Linked DNA regions of Oryctolagus cuniculus. The protein of the gene in region 3 interacts with the protein of the main gene of each other region in a pairwise test. Links are inferred from orthologs where the notes say so. Each region holds a gene or a part of one and is shown on either strand. Other genes may lie near its edges.

Region 1 (3,984 bases), on a different chromosome or scaffold from region 3:
GCTGAATCTCTGAATATTACTTTTTAATAGAATCTTTCATGAATCTTGTCTATTTTTCTGCGAATATTCATTACATGCATACGTTTGTATTGTGTAAATAAACGCTATTTTATCTTTGTGTGGACTGTCTCTTCATGTTGCTTTTTTACTATCAGACTGTTCATTTTCTATTAGTATAGAAGAACTTCATCGGTAGACGAAGCATCTCTCTGGGGCTGGCATTGTGCCGTAGTACATATAGCATTGCCTGCAATGCCGGCACACCACATGGGCACGTTCATGTTCTGCCTGCTCCACTTCCAATCCAGCTCCCTGCTGATGTGCCTGGGAAGGCAGCGGAAGATGGCCCAAGCGCTCGGGCCCCCACACTCATGTGCAGGACTTGGAAGAAGCTCCAGGCTTCAGCCCGGCTCAGCCTGACTACTGTGCAGCCATTGCGGAGTGAACCAGCAGATGGAAGAACTCTCTCTCTCTCTGCCTTACAAATGAGTAAAAAAAGGAGAAGGGGGAGGGGGAGGGGGAGGAGGAGAAGAGGAGGGAGGGGAGGGGAAGGGGAAGGAGGAAGACAGACAACAAGCACTGGCGAGCTCATGAAAAATTAAAACCCTCCATCACATCTAATATGAATATAAAATGGTGCAGTCCCTTTGGTAAACAGCCACAATTCCTCAAGAGACTAAACACGGGTACTACACTGATATGGGCAGGTGGGCTGCTAGCAGAGGAACTGAGGTTTGACAGCACTGCACTGCCGCAGGCCAGCCCTCCCAACAGCACAGCAGCCTTGCCTGGTCCACGTCATAGCCCCACCTGCACCACCCAAGCCCCCTTTCTGTGCACTTCCCAAACCTGCCTTCCATGCACCAGTCCCAGCCCTCTCCCCCTTCCCTGCAGTGCAAACCCCAAGTTTCACAATGTTGCAAATTTAAGAATGGGGGGAGGTGCCATGATGCAGAGGGTTAAAGCCCTGGCCTGAAGTGCCTGCATCCCATATAGGCGCGCATCCTAGTCCCTGCTGCTCCTCTTCCAATCCAGCTCTCTGGTGTGGCCTGGGAAAGCAGTAGAAGATGGCCCAAGTCCTTGGGCCCCTGCACCCACGTGGGAGACCCAGATGAAGCTCCTGGCTTTGGATAGGCACATCTCTGGCCGTTGCAGCCATTTGGGGAGTGAACCAGCAGATGGAAGACCTCTCTCTATCTCTACCTCTCACTGTCTGTAACTCTACCACTCAAATAAATAAAATATTAAAAGAAATTAGCATCAGCTATAACAATCCAAAATGGCTGCAGACAGTGACTCTCCCATGACATTTATATCATTAAATTATTATAATAATAAAATTACTAGGGTCAGTTTTTTTACTCTCACCGTGCCCCTAACACCATGACACTTCTGAGATTTCCAAAACAGGGCACAGAAATGGGCAGTACTCAGGTGCTGCACCAAACTCTGCTCCCTTTGAATGATCAATCAAGCCGCAGCCAGACACCACCCCCTATGCCTCGCAATACCATAACAAGATAGCCCGCACCTTTCCCTTTTCTTTAAGTAAATCCTGCTTTCCTGTACACCTCGTTTCCTCCTCGACTTCTTTCATGCATGGAGACAAGAACCCGGACCGAGCCTAGCCAAGGACCACCCCCATGACAATATAACCCAGCAATTCTACTCCTAGGTAAGCACACAGGTTAATGAAACCATGTTCACACAAAAACTTGGCACATAAACATTCACAGCAGAAATATTGCCTGCCCAAATTAGAAACAATGCAACTGTTCATCAACAGCTGAATGGATAAAATGTGAGGCATCACCTAATGGAGTGTGATTAGGCGGTCAGTGATGAAGCAGACAGGCTGCGGCATGCATGAACCCCCAAACACTATGGCTACCTGTTACACGCCAGTCTCAAGGGGTCGCATTCTGCAAGATGCACAGGAAACACCTCTACAGAGACAGAAAATACACTGCTGGTTGCTGGGGGCGTGGGGGGTGGGTCTCCATTTCCAGGGCCAACTGTCAACTCCAGTGGAGATCATGGGAACTGCTTGGGGTGGGGGGCGTTGAGGGCTTGAAAGGTGTGCGGTTTCTTTTAGGGGCAACAACACAACGTTTCTAAAACCGATTGCTTTCGGCTGCACAATTCTGTGACTATTCTAAAGACCAGTGCCATATACACTTCCAGTGGGTAAATCTCACGGAATGTGAATTATATCTCAATAAAGCTCTCGGGAAAAGGTTCCCTTACCTGGCATCTTCTGCAGCAATGAATGATGACTAGGCAGCGCCTTAACTAGAAAATACAGGGGCCGCCAACAGGTGTCCCAAGCAGTCAGAGGACTCAAACAGCAACATCCGACCCGAAGGCTGGGACAGAGTTTGGGGATCCGGCTTGGGGGGCGGTGGCTATTTAAGCGCAAGGCGGCCCTGGCCTCACTGAAGGAAATTTGCCCAGTTCCTGGGGGGAGCGGGTGGTCGCGCGGCCAAGCCTCCGTCAAGGCTCCATTTCGCAGGGGCCACAGGAACAAACGCTACAGCTCAACAGGCTAAGCAGCCGCGCAGTCCTCACACCTAAAGGTTCCACACCACACGAAAACAGCTCCGAGACCACCGCGGCCGCCCACAGGCCAGGAAACCCAGCCGGCGCGCGACCAACTCACCCGGGCCCCCGGCCTGCGTCTCCATGGCTAACGTCAACGCCGGCCGGCGCCGCTCGCGGCGCGGCGTCACGCACGCGCCCGCCTAGGGCCCCGCCCACACCTGCGCGCGCTCCCGACGGGGCTTCACGCCGGCCGGGCGAGGCAGGGCAGGCGGGGTGCAGCGCCCCACCCGGCCCCGCTCCGCTGTAAGAGTCTCGCGGGTCCTTCGACCGCGTCTTGGGTGTGGGCGCGAAACCACGGCCGGACCTTTCACCCGGACACGCCCCTACGCCAGAGCGTCGTTGCCATGGTGATGTGACGTAGTGACGTAGTTCCGTAAGGCGCGCCGCCGCCATTTTGCCAGCCCCGGAAGTGTGGGTGCCCCGCGACCCGCTATCTTGATGTCTGCGCTCTGGCGGCCACGGCCTGTCACCGCGTTTCAAATGAATGCTGCATTCGTCCTATTCGGTTGGAAGATGTGCGACTGTGTACAACCTCGCTTTATTGCGCTCCACTTTGTGTCGCTTCACAAATAATTGTATTTTATTAGAAATGGAAAGTTGTGGCAACACAGCGTCGAGCGAGCCTGTCGGCACCATTTTCCCAACAACTTGTGCTGTGTTGTCTGTGTCGCGGTTTGCTAACTCGCGATATTTCAGCTTTTTTCCTTATTGTCCTTTTTTATGGCGAGGTGTGATTAGTGGGCCCTTCTGTGGTGATTGGGGATGGCACGGATTGCGCCTGGGTCCGTCCGTGAACTTAATCTGTACATGCGTGTGTTCTGACTGTCCCTGACACACAGCGGTGTGGGAAGTAGGTCTGTTAATAACTAGCTTCGAAAAAGTGTTTTAAATCAAAAGCTGGAAATGGTTACTTAGTGAGAAAGGCATGTCAAAAGCTGAGATACATGGACAACTAGGTATCTTGTGCCAGTTAGCCAAGTTTGACTGCGAAGGAAAAATTCGAGGGAAATGCAAAGTTCTACTCCAGGGAACACACGAATAATAAGAAAGCAAAACATTATTGCTGATACTGAAAAAGCTGTAGTGGTTTGGATAAAAGATCAAGCCAACCACAACCTCCCCTTATGCCAAGGCCTAATCTGGAGCAAGGCCCTCTCTTCAATTCTATGAAGGCTGAAAGGGGTGAGAAAACCGCAGAGGAAAAGTTTGAGGTTGGCTCAGGAGGTTTAGAGAAGCAGTTTCCGGCACACCAAGGTGCGAGGTGCAGCTTGATGAAGGTGGCTTCATTAAACCTCAGATTTTCAATGCAGCATTGGAGCCTGGAGACGTGACGGAATCGCTGCATTCTCATGATAAAACTTTAACAGATGATTCACTTCTTAG
Region 2 (4,284 bases), on a different chromosome or scaffold from region 3:
GCCCGCCCCGCGGCACGCACCATGATGTTGCCCATGGGCCCGCCCTCACCCCCGGCCCGCCCCGCGGCACGCACCATGATGTTGCCCATGGGCCCGCCCTCACCCCCGGCCCGCCCCCAGCACGCACCATGATGTTGCCCATGGGCCCGCCCTCGCCCCCAGCACGCACCATGATGTTGCCCATGGGCCCGCCCTCGCCCCGCCCCCGCCCCCGGCACGCACCATGATGTTGCCCATGGGCCCGCCCCCGCCCTCGGCCCGCCCCGCGGCACGCACCATGATGTTGCCCATGGGCCCGCCCTCGCCCTCGCCCCCGCCCCCGGCACGCACCATGATGTTGCCCATGGGCCCGCCCCCGCCCTCGGCCCGCCCCGCGGCACGCACCATGATGTTGCCCATGGGCCCGCCCTCGCCCCCGCCCCCGCCCCCAGCACGCACCATGATGTTGCCCATGGGCCCGCCCTCACCCCCGGCCCGCCCCGCGGCACGCACCATGATGTTGCCCATGGGCCCGCCCTCGCCCTCGCCGTAGGTGGAGATGATGACGTTCACGTTCTCCACGATGCGCTGGAAGGTCTGGTACAGCTCCTCCGGCTCCAGCTGCAGCTCCAGCAGCGCGCGGTCCATCTTGTTCATCATCAGCACCGGCTTGATGCGCTCGGCGATGGCCTGGCGCAGCACCGTCTCCGTCTGCACGCACACGCCTGCGGGGCCGCGGCTCAGTCCCGGCTCAGTCCCGGCCCGGCCTCACCCTGCCTGCCTCACCCCGCCCTGCCCCGCCCCGCCCGGCGCCCCGCTCACCGGACACGCAGTCCACCACCACCAGGGCGCCGTCGGTGACGCGCAGGGCGGCCGTGACCTCGGAGGAGAAGTCCACGTGGCCGGGGGAGTCGATGAGGTTGATGAGGAAGCCCGAGCCGTCCTTGCTCTGCTTGATGAAGTTCAGGTCGTTCTCCGAGAGCTCGTAGAACAGCGAGATGGCCCTGGGGGGGGGGGGCCGGGTCACGGTGCAGGCGGACACCCCCAGCCGGGCAAGGCCGGCCCCACCCGCACCTGCCGCACCTGCCCCTCTGCTCCCCGGGGGCCGGCCTGCACCACACGGGAGCCGGGGACGCTGGGGCCAGCTGACCCTCTCGGGGTCGCCCTGGGCCCTGACCACAGGGACAGCACAGGAGCTGATGCCCACGCGGGGGCCTGTGTCCCTGGGGGACACAACCGTCCATGCTGCAGTGGGACAGCCCGCCCCCAGGGGTCCTAGACCCCACCCCCTCTCTGCCCAGCACTCCTGCCCTTGCCCAGGCCACCTGTGGCCAGCAGCGCCCTGCCCGGGGCCAGAGGCCACTGGGGGGGGTTGATGACGCAGGCACGGCCCCGCCCCCGAGCAATGCCGCCCCGCCCCCGGCTGCAGACCAAACAGTGATGAGGCCCCGCCCCCGGCCGCGTGCCCCCAAGACCCCGACCCCTGACAGTGATGCAAGCCCCCCTCCACCGCGCACCCCGCCCCCGGCTGTGCCCCCACTGTGGACCTGACAGCCTGTTAACCCCTCAGGGCCCGGCGCGGTTGGCGGGTTGGGGGGGTGCACCGGGTCATGGCCTGGGGGCGGCGGGCGGCCCCCACGCGGGCGCAGGCCTTCCGTGCAAAAGCCCCCGGCTGCGCGCCCCCCAGTGGCCCTGATAGTGATGCACCCCGCGCCCGGACGTGCGCCCCCAGGACCCTGACCCCTGACAGCAATGCAACCCCCCCACCGCCCTGACAGCGATGCGCCCCGCCCCCGGCCCCGGCCGCGCGCGCTCACGTGGACTTGATGGTGATGCACCGCTCCTGCTCGTCCTTGCGCGTGTCAGTGAAGCGCGTCTCCCCCGCGCGGGCCGAGGCGATGATGCCGGCCTTGCACACCAGGGAGTCGGTCAGCGTGGACTTGCCGTGGTCCACGTGCGCGATGACCGACATGTTGCGGATGTTGGCCTTCTTGTCCATGATGGCCCGGATCTGGTCTACGGTGAAGTTCACCTGCGCGCGGGGAGGGGGCGATGCCAGGGGTCCAGGAAGCTGCCGGGCGGGGGTCGGCGGCCGCGGGGGCCCCGCCGCGAGCCCCGCCCACCGCCCCCAGCCGGCTGCCGGGCTGTCACTCACGACAGCAGCCGGGGAGGGCGACCCCCGCGCGTGACAGCAGGTGCAGCCGCCCCCGCCCCCCGGGGCCACCCGACCCCGCTGCCCACTCGGTCCAACAGGGCAGCTTCCGGGTCGGCAGGTGCACGGCGACACCTCGCGGCTGCCACGCGGGCGAAGGTCAAGGGCCGGGCCACGGTGGCACCGGGCGTCCGCGGGAGGGCAGCCCGCCCGCGCCCCCCGCAGCCCCGCCGCTTACGTAAGGCGCCCGCCGCCCCGGGCCCGCGCGCCCGCCGCATCAGCACGCCCGGGCCGCGTCCCCGCCGGGCGCCCCCGCGAGCCCCCAGCGGCTGCCCCGCAGCCGCGCGGCGCGCAGTCATGGCGCCGGCCGCTTCCCCCGGCCCCGAGCCCGCCGGCCCCGCCGCCGCCGCCGCCATGTCTGCGCTCCCGCCCCGTCGGCGGCCGGCGCGGCAGCGGCGGGCGCGCGGGGCCCCCGCAGCCGCCCCCAGGCGCCGGGCGGCCCGCAGCGCTCACCATGGTGGCGGATGGCGTTGGATTCTCCCGAGCAGACCCGAGCGAGGCAGGTCGCGCCGAGGATGGCGGCGACGGCGGCGGAAGAGAACGCTGACGTCAACACCCAGCCCTTTATAGGCCGACGCCGGTTGGGTGGGTCACATGACCGCGAGGCGGGGGCGGGGCGAAGGCGCTGGACGCGCAGGCGCACAGGCGCCCGCCGCCTGTTAACCCCTCAGGGCCCGGCGCGGTTGGCGGGTGGGGGGGTGCACCGGGTCATGGCCTGGGGGCGGCGGGCGGCCCCCACGCGGGCGCAGGCCTTCCGTGCAAAAGGTGCAGGTGCACCGGGGGAGGAGCGCGCAGCAGGCTGGGACAGACAAAGCGCCCGTGTTAGCTTGCACGGTGCGGAACATTTTTGTTAAGACCCTGTGAGCAGGGTCCCTAAAGTGTCACTTTCCTGATTTGGGAATTACGTAAGGGGCTCGCGCAGGGGGGAGTGGGTGCCTGCGACGCCCGGTTGCTGCTCCTGCAGCTGCTCGCGTGTCGCGGCCCCAGGGACTTATCTTAAAAAAGAAAAAAAAAATGTTGTGTTTTGCAAAGATGCATCGACTCTGCTGCCCCGAAAAAACGCAGCGAACGTCTCCCAGCAGGGGTCGTGGGAAAATGAGCCTTCTTAAAAAAAAAAAAAAAAAAAAAAAACACGTGCGTGGATCCCCGCGCCCCTGCGATGCCCACTTCCCGGGTGCGGGGCGCCCAGCGGCCGTCGCCCAGTCCCCGGAGCCCGGCCTGCGCCGTGCGGGCCCCGCGGCCGGCGGCTCCCCACGCACGCCCCGTGCGTTCCGCCTGCTCTCCAGCGGGCGGCGCGCGTGGACCGCGGCGCGCGCGTGTCCCGAGGTGACCCGGCTGGAGCCGCAGCGGCCTCCGGGGGTGCCCGCCGCGGCTTTAGTGCTATTTACGTTCTGCATCCGAGGGCAGCGCCCCCCCTGGGGACCCTCCCCTCGCCGTCCGTGGGCGACAGGCTGGGGCAGGGGCCGGGGGCGTCCGTGGGAAGCAATGCGGGTCGGCCCCGCAAAGACGCGCGCAGCCCAGGTCGTCTCCGAGCAGGGGCCGGCGCCGCCCTGCGGTCGCCCCCGCACCCCCCGCCCCGAGCGGACGCGGTGCGGGGCCGTCGAACCCCACGACCCTCTGCCCTCGCCCCCAGCCCCACGAGCGGAGGAAGCCGCAGCCAGAGCCGGGGTCTGCAGCAGCACGCACGGGCCGGGCGTGCAGGGCGGGTACGCGGGGGCGGCGGGCCGGGGGAGGGAGGAAAAAAAAAAAAAAAAAACAACCAAAAACCCAAAACTCGGCTCTGCAGGGCGGGCCCAGTGCGCGTGCGCGGAGGCCGCAGCAGCGACCCCTGCCGACCCGAGGCCGCCACTGCGCGCCCTTGGAGGCTGCGGTTTTCCTGGGGAGCAGCCCGGGGCTCCTCGTAATTCGTTAAAACACACTCGTTCTAAGAATTTGCGACGCGGACATCTCGAGCAGCCGGTTCACGCCGCCCGGGACAGCCGAGGCTGGGCCGGGTTAATTAATGGATCACGAAGCCCGCCTTGCCGCTGTAACCTCCCAGGTGCCCCTTACAGTCGGTGGACGCCCCCACGCCCCCCCGCCTCCGGAGTTCA
Region 3 (4,015 bases):
TAGTGAGATTTCAGTGGTTTTACTGTTTGTTTGTTTGTTCGTTTTTACTTGTTTGGAGTTTTCTCTACTTCTTGTAATGAATACATGTTGCTTTTAGAAAAACAAAAAAAAGTAATAAACTTAATTTAGGAAACAAGTGAACTAAGAGTTGTTAATGCAGCACAAAGATCTGATCTTCAGTCTCTTCTGTTTAAAGTTCAATTTCCCGCCGGCGCCGCGGCTCACTAGGCTAATCCTCCACCTAGCGGTGCCAGCACACCGGGTTCTAGTCCCAGTTGGGGCGCCGGATTCTGTCCCGGTTGCCCCTCTTCCAGGCCAGCTCTCTGCTGTGGACAGGGAGTGCAGTGGAGGATGGCCCAAGTGCTTGGGCCCTGCACCCCATGGGAGACCAGGAAAAAGCACCTGGCTCCTGGCTTCGGATCAGCGCAATGCGCTGACCGTAGCGCGCCGGCTGCAGCGGCCATTGGAGGGTGAACCAACGGCAAAGGAAGGCCTTTCTCTCTGTCTCTCTCTCTCACTGTCCACTCTGCCTGTCAAAAAAAAAAAAAAAGTTCAATTTCCCTCTGCCAGCATCATGGCTGAACATGAGGTCTCCACAAAAACATCCTGGGATGCAGCCCTGTGAGGTGACCTTGACACCAACAGCCTTCATCCCAGCGTCACCTCGTGTGCCATCCTAGGGTCCTGACACATTTAGGTGTTAAAGTATTAATCCAGATTCCACTTCTTCTGAGATCTGCAAGATCATCATTCGTTCTTTCAAGCTTTCCATGCCTTTGTTTTTCATTGTTTCAAGAGAATAACCTGCATCGGATTTTACAGAAATAGGGATGAAAGAAATCTCCGATTTCTTCAGTCACCTATGCAGGGCTAATAATTTACCCATCCATTTTATGATATGCAGGGTGCATCATTAGCTATGATCTAATACAGGTCTGCTCTGAACCGTGGCTCCATTCACTAACATCTTTTCAGTCAGAGGTTGAAAAGACAATGGGGAGAGGTGTCCACACAGGGGTGCACTGCTGGCTCTGCACTGAACAGCTATGTGAGCTTGGGAAAAAAGCAGGTGACCCTGAACCTCAGCTTTGCCATAGGAAAACAAGGACTGATTACCAGCCCCATAAAGGCTTGGGGAAGAGTTCATCAAAAGAATGCACAGTAGAGCTCCCAGCACATCTGGAAGTTGTAAAAAGTTGCAGATGTTAGGATTCCTGCTAGTAATATGATGTCCTGTATGTGCACAGTGACTCCTGTTCCACACGATGTCTTACATGTTTTACTTTATTTGAACCTCAGGTAGCACTATTGGTCTAAATGGCAGGAATTACTATTCCCCTTTTCTGGTTTTTTTTTGTTTTTTTTTTTTTTTTTTTTGTAAGTAGTTAAGAAAAACTGAGGTCCAAGGTCACAAAGCCCACAAAGTAGGTCTACTGTCCAGGGCTGGGTTCTTGTTCTGTGGCAGAGTCTGAACTGAACCTCAAGGGACTCCATGCGTCATGCCTGAGCACAAGAAAACCCAGGGTCTTTTACAGCACCCTACTCTTCGTACTTAAATCAAACCAGTATTCCTTTAAACGCCACAGTATTCAGTTTTACTTAGGAAAATTAGCAACGACAGTCTTTTCATCCTGCAGTCTGTCTCTGGAGTAGAGCTAGGGGCTTCACATCCACCACCACACCGAAACGGCGCAGCAACCCTCTGGGGAAAGGGGTACTGTCATGGTCCCCATTTTAAAAGTGGGGAAACTGAGGCACAGCTAAGTCCAGGATTGAGAAGCAAAGACACTGTCTCCAACTCCCAGCTTTCATGGCCCTGGTGTTTCCCAGCTCACGTTTGTGTAACCAGTGAGACACTTTTAGCAAAGTGCTTTCACATCCATAGACCCAAGGAGGCAGGGAGACCCCGTCATTAGTGGCCACTGTGACTTCTGAGGGAAGGGATGCACCCAGGACATAATGCACACCCTGACTCCAAATCTCACGGTCTCCAGAAAGTTTCCAATACTTCTGCATGTATTTTAAGAGCGAGAGATACAAGTCCTGTCATGCTTGGAAAGCAAACATCTACGCCATGACTTCAGTGTCACCACTGCGAGCTGACGGTGTAATCAGGGTCTGGGCAGTGGTGTCCCGCCGAAGCTCCGGCGAGGGCTTTGCCGTCGCCAAGTTCCAAGCCTGCAATGAAACTGCACCGTGGCCTGTGGAGGACGCGCCCTCACCAGCTCCTTACCCCACTCTCAACTTCCACCTTCCAGGTCCCGCGGGTCCCGGGCGAGGGCGTGCAGGGCCGCTCTGTCCTGCGGGGGTACGGATGGACAGGACCCATCCCAACTCCAAGCACGCCCCTGGGGCCTTCCGCCGCCGCCCAGGACCCGTCAGACGCGAGCATGGGTCCGCCGCGGACTGCTCTGCAGAGTCCTGCGGGCCAGGAGGGACTTGGAGGGCTGGGCACAGAGCTGACAGCCCCAGACCCTCTCCTCCCAAACCTGCACCTTACGCGCCCTGTTGCGGTTTCCCGCACCTCTGAAGGGGCGCACCGAACTGGAGCTGTGAAGAGAGGCTCGCCCAGACCTACTGAGGGGGAAAGGCGCACTTCCGGCCCGGCCCAGACCTCCCGGGACCCATTCTGGCTGCTGTGGCGGAGCCCCTACCTGCGCCGCGGTCCGCGCCGCCTCCGCCGGCCGGGGCGCCCTGGGGACCCCGGCGCAACATGTGCCGGGCCGCTGGCTCCTCCAGTTCCGCCTTGGCTGCCTCCTGCTCCGGTCCCCGGGCCGAGGGAGGCGGATTGGGAGGAAGTAGCGCTCTGGACGGGAAGTGGGGAGGGGGCTGAGGGAGAAGAGGGAGGCTCCTTCCTTCTCATTACAGAGCGCAGTGGTTTCCTTTGCAACTGGGTCACACACAGGGCAAGCATACATCCAGTCCCTTGGCTGGGACAGGCGCAGCGGGCAGGCTCTTGGTGGGTGCCTAGTACCTCGGGACCCCAGAAAGTTTGTTCTTCGCTCTGGATCCCTTCTGGACAGAAGCAGGACAAGGGAGATGCAGGCAGGAAAGGCTGAGCGGCCTTCAGCATAGGACCTTAGCAAGGTTCTTCCCAGATGCCTAGTCTTGGGAAGTGACCAAAATGTGAGTGCGGGAGTTAGCATCAGGTAGACTCATTTTATTCCAAGTGCAGGGCAAGTGCCGAAGGTGACATCGAAGGATAAGCATGAAAGCGGTTGTTTAGAAATAAAAAGAATTCCAGCTTTTAGACTCTTCTGGCAGCACTGGGCAGGCCACAGTCCGTTGCAAGCGTCTAGTTCAGTTCCAAGCATCTACACCATTGACTCGCCTACTAACACCTTCTCTTTGGCTCATTCAAAAGAGCCAAGGAGAATCCCCCATGTAATTCATGCTACAGAACAGTGCGATAAGGAAGGGCAAGGCGTGGTTTTTTTTTTTTCTTTATTTAAAAATTTTATTTATTTGACAGAGTTAGACAGTGAGAGGAGAGAGACAGAGAGAAAGGGCTAGTCCTGGTTGCTCCTCTTCCATTCCAGCTTTCTGCTGTGGCCTGGGAAGGCAGTGGAGGATGGCCCAAGTGTTTGGGCTCCTGCACCTGCATGGGAGATCAGGAGGAAGCACCTGGCTCCTGGCTTCGGATCGGCGCAGTGCGCCGGCTGTAGGGGCCATTTGGGGAGTGAACCAATGGAAGGAAGACCTTTCTCTCTCTCACTGTCTATAACTCTACCTGTCTAATAAAAATAAAAAAAGAGCTTAAAAAATATCACCAACTGGGCCAGCGCAGTGGCTCACTAGGCTAATCCTCCGCCTGCGGTGCTGGTACCCCAGGTTCTAGTCCTGGTTGGGGCGCCAGTTCTGTCCCGGTTGCTCCTCTTCCAGGCCAGCTCCCTGCTGTGGCCCGGAAAGGCAGTGGAGGATGGCCCAAGTGCTTGGGCCCTGCGCCCACTTGGGAGACCAGGAGGAACACCTGGCTCCTGGCTTCGGATCTGCACAGCGCACTGGCCATAGCAGC
Region 4 (3,757 bases), on a different chromosome or scaffold from region 3:
CAATGGGTCCCGGTCCCAGACTGTGGCTGTCCCTAACGGCTGGCCCAGAACAGCGGGGTCTGGCCCCCCAGCTCAGGGCCAGTGCTGGGGCATAGCAGGTGAAGCAGCCTGCAGTGCCAGAACCCCATGTGGGTGCCAGTTCGAATCCCAGCTGCTGCAGCTCTCTGCTGTGGTGAGTGCTTGGGCCCCTGCATCTGTCAGCTCCAGGCTTCTGCTGCAGCCCAGCCCTGGCTGCCGTGGCCATTGGGTGTGTGAGCCAGCAGATGGAGGACCGTCTCCAACTCTGCCTTCGAATAGACAGCTCTCCCATGATCTGTGTGTGTGCAGGCTGGAGCCAGTGACCACCCCCACACACACACACAGGAACACCGAACAAGGAAGTTGCAGCCACTCATGGAGTGAGTGCCCGCCCCAGACCAGATCCCACCATCCCGCGTGGGACTCTTGTTGCCCGCCCCACCACGCCCAGAGGGTGTGAGCCACAGGACAACTCCCAGGAATGCTTTCACTACAAAATAATTTATTAACAGCGGAGCCTCCTGTGCGTGCGCCCTAGGCGGGGACCCTCCTCCTGCCGCGGGCCGCCCGCACCTCCTCCAGCAGGTCCTTGAGGTACTGGATCTCCTTGGCCAGGCCGTCGGCCCTCTCCCGCAGGGCCGCGTTGCGCTCCTCCAGCCCCCGGCACTCGCCCGCCAGCGCCTCCTGCTCCGCCCGCTTCTTCTGCCGGTAGCGCGTGGCGGCCGTCTTGTTCTGCTCCATCTTCTTGAGCTTCTTCTCCAGCTTCTCGCCCTTCACGCGCGCCGCCGCGGCCGCCGCAGGCTCGTAGGGCTTGGGGCGGGCCGGGGCGGGGGGGCCCCTGTGCGGGGAGCCCCTGGGGGTGGGGGCGGAGGGGCTGCGCTGCGGGGAGCCCGGGCAGGACTCGGGGCTCATGCAGACGCCGCTGTCGTTGTCGGAGGGGCTGTCCTCCTCCTTGACGCCCTGCGGGACCACGGGGCCCAGGCCGGGCGACTCGGGCTTCCGGTCCCCGTCCGCGATGTCCACCTCGCTGCCCAGCTCCAAGCTGAACGACTCATCCGGGGAGGCGGCCGCGACCCCCAGCGACAGGGGCAGGGGCTGCAGGAAGGTGCAGGGGGCGACCTGCGGCAGGCTCGCGGGGAGGGGGCCGAGCGGGCTCCCTGCCTGGGGCGGCTCCTTGAGCGCGTCCAGGGCCAGGGGGGCGAAGAGGTCGCACGAGTCGTCCAGCGTGGCCAGCAGCTCGTCGGGCACGGCCTCCAGGTCGTCCAAGCTCAGCAGGGCGTCGAAGTCGAACTCCTTGAGGTCCACTTTCTCCAACATCCAGTCCGTCCCGGAGAAGGCGTCCTCTGCGGGGGCGCGAGCGAGGGCGCGTGAGGCCGGCGCCCCCCCCCCGACACGGGCGCCCCCTCCCACCCCCACCCCCCGCGGCGCTCACCCTTGCCGTCGGCGGGGGCGCCCAGCAGCCCGTCCGCCGCCAGCCATTCCGAGGAGCCCGCCGCAGCCTTGTCGCCGGGGGGCCCGGGAGGCTTCCAGGGCGTGGCCACCTCCAGGTAGTCGTCCAGGAGCCCCAGGCCCTCCTCAGCCCCCAAAGCCGCCTGGTCGAAGGGGGACGCCAAGTCCCCCGCCAACCCCGCGCTGTGCAGGAAGCTCATGTCGGCCGTGTCGCGGGGCTGCGCTGGAACCGGGGCAGGGGCTCAGCTCGAAGGTGTCTCTGTCCGTGACAGCAACGCTGCTGCTGGGTGCCGTGAGGAGCCTGCGGGCGAGCGGCAGGGGCGCCATCAGGGCGGGGGCCGGCCGGGCGGCAGGTGCACAGCGGCCATGGCCGCCCCCGCCGGGGCCGGCGCCCGGCCCGCCCGCCCGGCCCCGCCCCGTGACTCACCCCGCGCCGCCTCCCGCCGCCATCTTGGCCGCCGCCACGTTTCGCGGGGCGGCCACCGCGACCCCCGCCGGCGCAGAGCGGGGGCCGGGGCTCCGAGGACAGCGCGCCCCCACCTCCCCGGGGACGCGGGCGCCGGGCCGCGCTCTCCCGACCCCGCCCAAGGACACGCAAGCAGGAACCACGCGTCCCCGGCGCTCGTAAAACCGCTTCCGCCTCGGCGACGCGGCCCCGACCCCCGGCCGCAGGCCGCGCCCAAGCCCAGGCCCAGGCCCAGGGCCCGCAGACGCCGGGCCCCGGCCCCCTCGCCCGGCCCGGTACTCACGCCATGGCTTAAGCCGCTGGGGGTTGCCGCTGCAGAGCCTGGTGCTGCTGCCGCCGCTGCAAAGGCCAACGCTGCCGCAGGCACTGCTGCCTCTAATACGCCATGGTGGCCGCGGCCCTGCGGGACGGGAGGAGGAAGGGCACGGCTCGCAAGAGATCTACATCGACGGGCGGGCGCAGCGGTAATGGCGGCGGCGCGCGGCCCGCCGGGCTTTTATAGACTTGGTCGCCTCCGAGCCGCATCACAGGACGCATCCTTCCGCCGCGGCCATGTGACCCGCGCCTCCTGCCCACTCCCCGGCGTCCCCACCACTTTCCTCCCCCGAGCTTTTATGTCCGAGGCGTAGCCATGTACAGAAAAGTAGTTTACTTTCAAGATCTCACGTCGGGAAAAAGGCGCACTACTTTACAAGGCGTCCAAGATCAAAGAGTCTCGTCCTTTCCCCCTCGGATGCCCGGATGCGCGGAGGGATCTCTCTCAGGGGCGGGGCGTGAAGAGCCTTTCATTCCAAGGAGGCTTTTTATTGTGAAGGCCGAGGCCGCCCGGCTATCGCGCGAGACGCTGGCGGGGAGCGCGCGTCGAGATGATTGGCTCAGGCCTGAGGAGTCATATATACCTTGAGCTCCTATTGGCTCAGGGCCCGAGGGGGGCGGGCCACTCGGCGAAGGGGCCCGGGTCTGCGCGGGAAAGGGCGGGAGCGGCCTGGCGTGCAGCCGTGCCTTTGGTTGTAGCCTCGGCGGCCGCAGCGGTAGAAATCAGCGCCCAGCGGCCTCCGAGCGAGCCCGCCGCGAGCGGGCCCGGGCCTCGGGGCCGGGGAGCCTGCCGCCGTCCGGGGCCGGCTCTGCGTCCTCCCGCTGACCTCCGCGAGCCGCTGGCCAGCCTGCGTGTCCGCGGCGCCCTTTCTGCTGCAGGGCGTCGCTGCGGGGACGCCTCTGGCCTCTGCAGGCTCAGCCCCGCTGCGACCCCGGGTGGTTCCCACGAGCTCCGGACAAGGCCCGGTGGCCCTGCGGGGGACAGGAGTTCCCGGGGAGCCGGGCCCCGGCCCGCAGAGCTCCACTCCCGCGTCCCTTCCGCGAGCGCTGCTGGCTGGACAGACAACCTGCCCTGGGGCCAGGGCCACCCTTCCCAGGGTGCACGGGCAGCCCCGGCGCCCCCGTCTGTTGGCGGACACTGGCCGTGCTGGGGCCCGGCCCGCGCGCGGGACGCGCTCCCGCCACGCTAACTCGGGGTCCCCACTCCCGGCTACCCCTGTGGGGTCACTCTGCTTCCTCAGGGGGCTCCTCCCGGAACTGACCGGCGGCCGAGGCCTAGGGCGCGGCACTCTGCCCGGGGGTCAGGAGGAAGGCGGTGGGGGTGGGACTCCCGCGCCGCCACCGCGACCCCGCATCCATCCCGGGAGTCCCGCCCGCTCCCTGCTGATGCGCCCGGGAGAGCCGTGCTTGCGCCCCTGCGCCCACGTGGGCGACCCGGCGGAGTTCCAGCTCTTGGCCATCTGGGGAACGAACCAGATGGAAGAACTCCTAATTTTTGCCTTTCAAGTA

What was found.
Region 1: the proteins of DISC1 (region 3) and PCNX4 interact in a two-hybrid assay, tested with the Homo sapiens proteins (2 studies listed by BioGRID and IntAct). The link is inferred for Oryctolagus cuniculus from reciprocal best matches to the Homo sapiens genes DISC1 and PCNX4.
Region 2: the proteins of DISC1 (region 3) and EEF2 interact in a two-hybrid assay, tested with the Homo sapiens proteins (2 studies listed by BioGRID and IntAct). The link is inferred for Oryctolagus cuniculus from reciprocal best matches to the Homo sapiens genes DISC1 and EEF2.
Region 4: the proteins of DISC1 (region 3) and ATF4 interact in binary tests that used the Homo sapiens proteins (3 or more experiments, as listed by UniProt). The link is inferred for Oryctolagus cuniculus from reciprocal best matches to the Homo sapiens genes DISC1 and ATF4.

What each region holds. Positions count from the first base shown.
Region 1 is NC_091451.1:10,443,801-10,447,784, forward strand, and holds the start of PCNX4 (pecanex-like protein 4), read right to left. Parts: upstream 2,801-3,984; 5' UTR 2,660-2,800; exon of another isoform or gene 2,248-2,659; intron 1,948-2,247; exon of another isoform or gene 1,892-1,947; intron 1-1,891.
Region 2 is NC_091447.1:59,303,740-59,308,023, reverse strand, and holds the start of EEF2 (elongation factor 2), read right to left. Parts: upstream 2,801-4,284; 5' UTR 2,648-2,800; coding exon 2,645-2,647; intron 2,012-2,644; coding exon 1,797-2,011; intron 984-1,796; coding exon 802-983; intron 705-801; coding exon 493-704; intron 1-492. UniProt on the Homo sapiens protein: Catalyzes the GTP-dependent ribosomal translocation step during translation elongation.
Region 3 is NC_091444.1:51,180,019-51,184,033, reverse strand, and holds the start of DISC1 (disrupted in schizophrenia 1 protein), read right to left. Parts: upstream 2,801-4,015; 5' UTR 2,716-2,800; coding exon 2,655-2,715; intron 1-2,654. UniProt on the Homo sapiens protein: Involved in the regulation of multiple aspects of embryonic and adult neurogenesis. Required for neural progenitor proliferation in the ventrical/subventrical zone during embryonic brain development and in the adult dentate gyrus of the hippocampus.
Region 4 is NC_091442.1:115,754,879-115,758,635, reverse strand, and holds ATF4 (cyclic AMP-dependent transcription factor ATF-4), read right to left. Parts: upstream 2,421-3,757; 5' UTR 2,217-2,420; intron 1,769-2,216; 5' UTR 1,668-1,768; coding exon 1,451-1,667; intron 1,362-1,450; coding exon 553-1,361; 3' UTR 501-552; downstream 1-500. UniProt on the Homo sapiens protein: Transcription factor that binds the cAMP response element (CRE) (consensus: 5'-GTGACGT[AC][AG]-3') and displays two biological functions, as regulator of metabolic and redox processes under normal cellular conditions, and as master transcription factor during integrated stress response (ISR).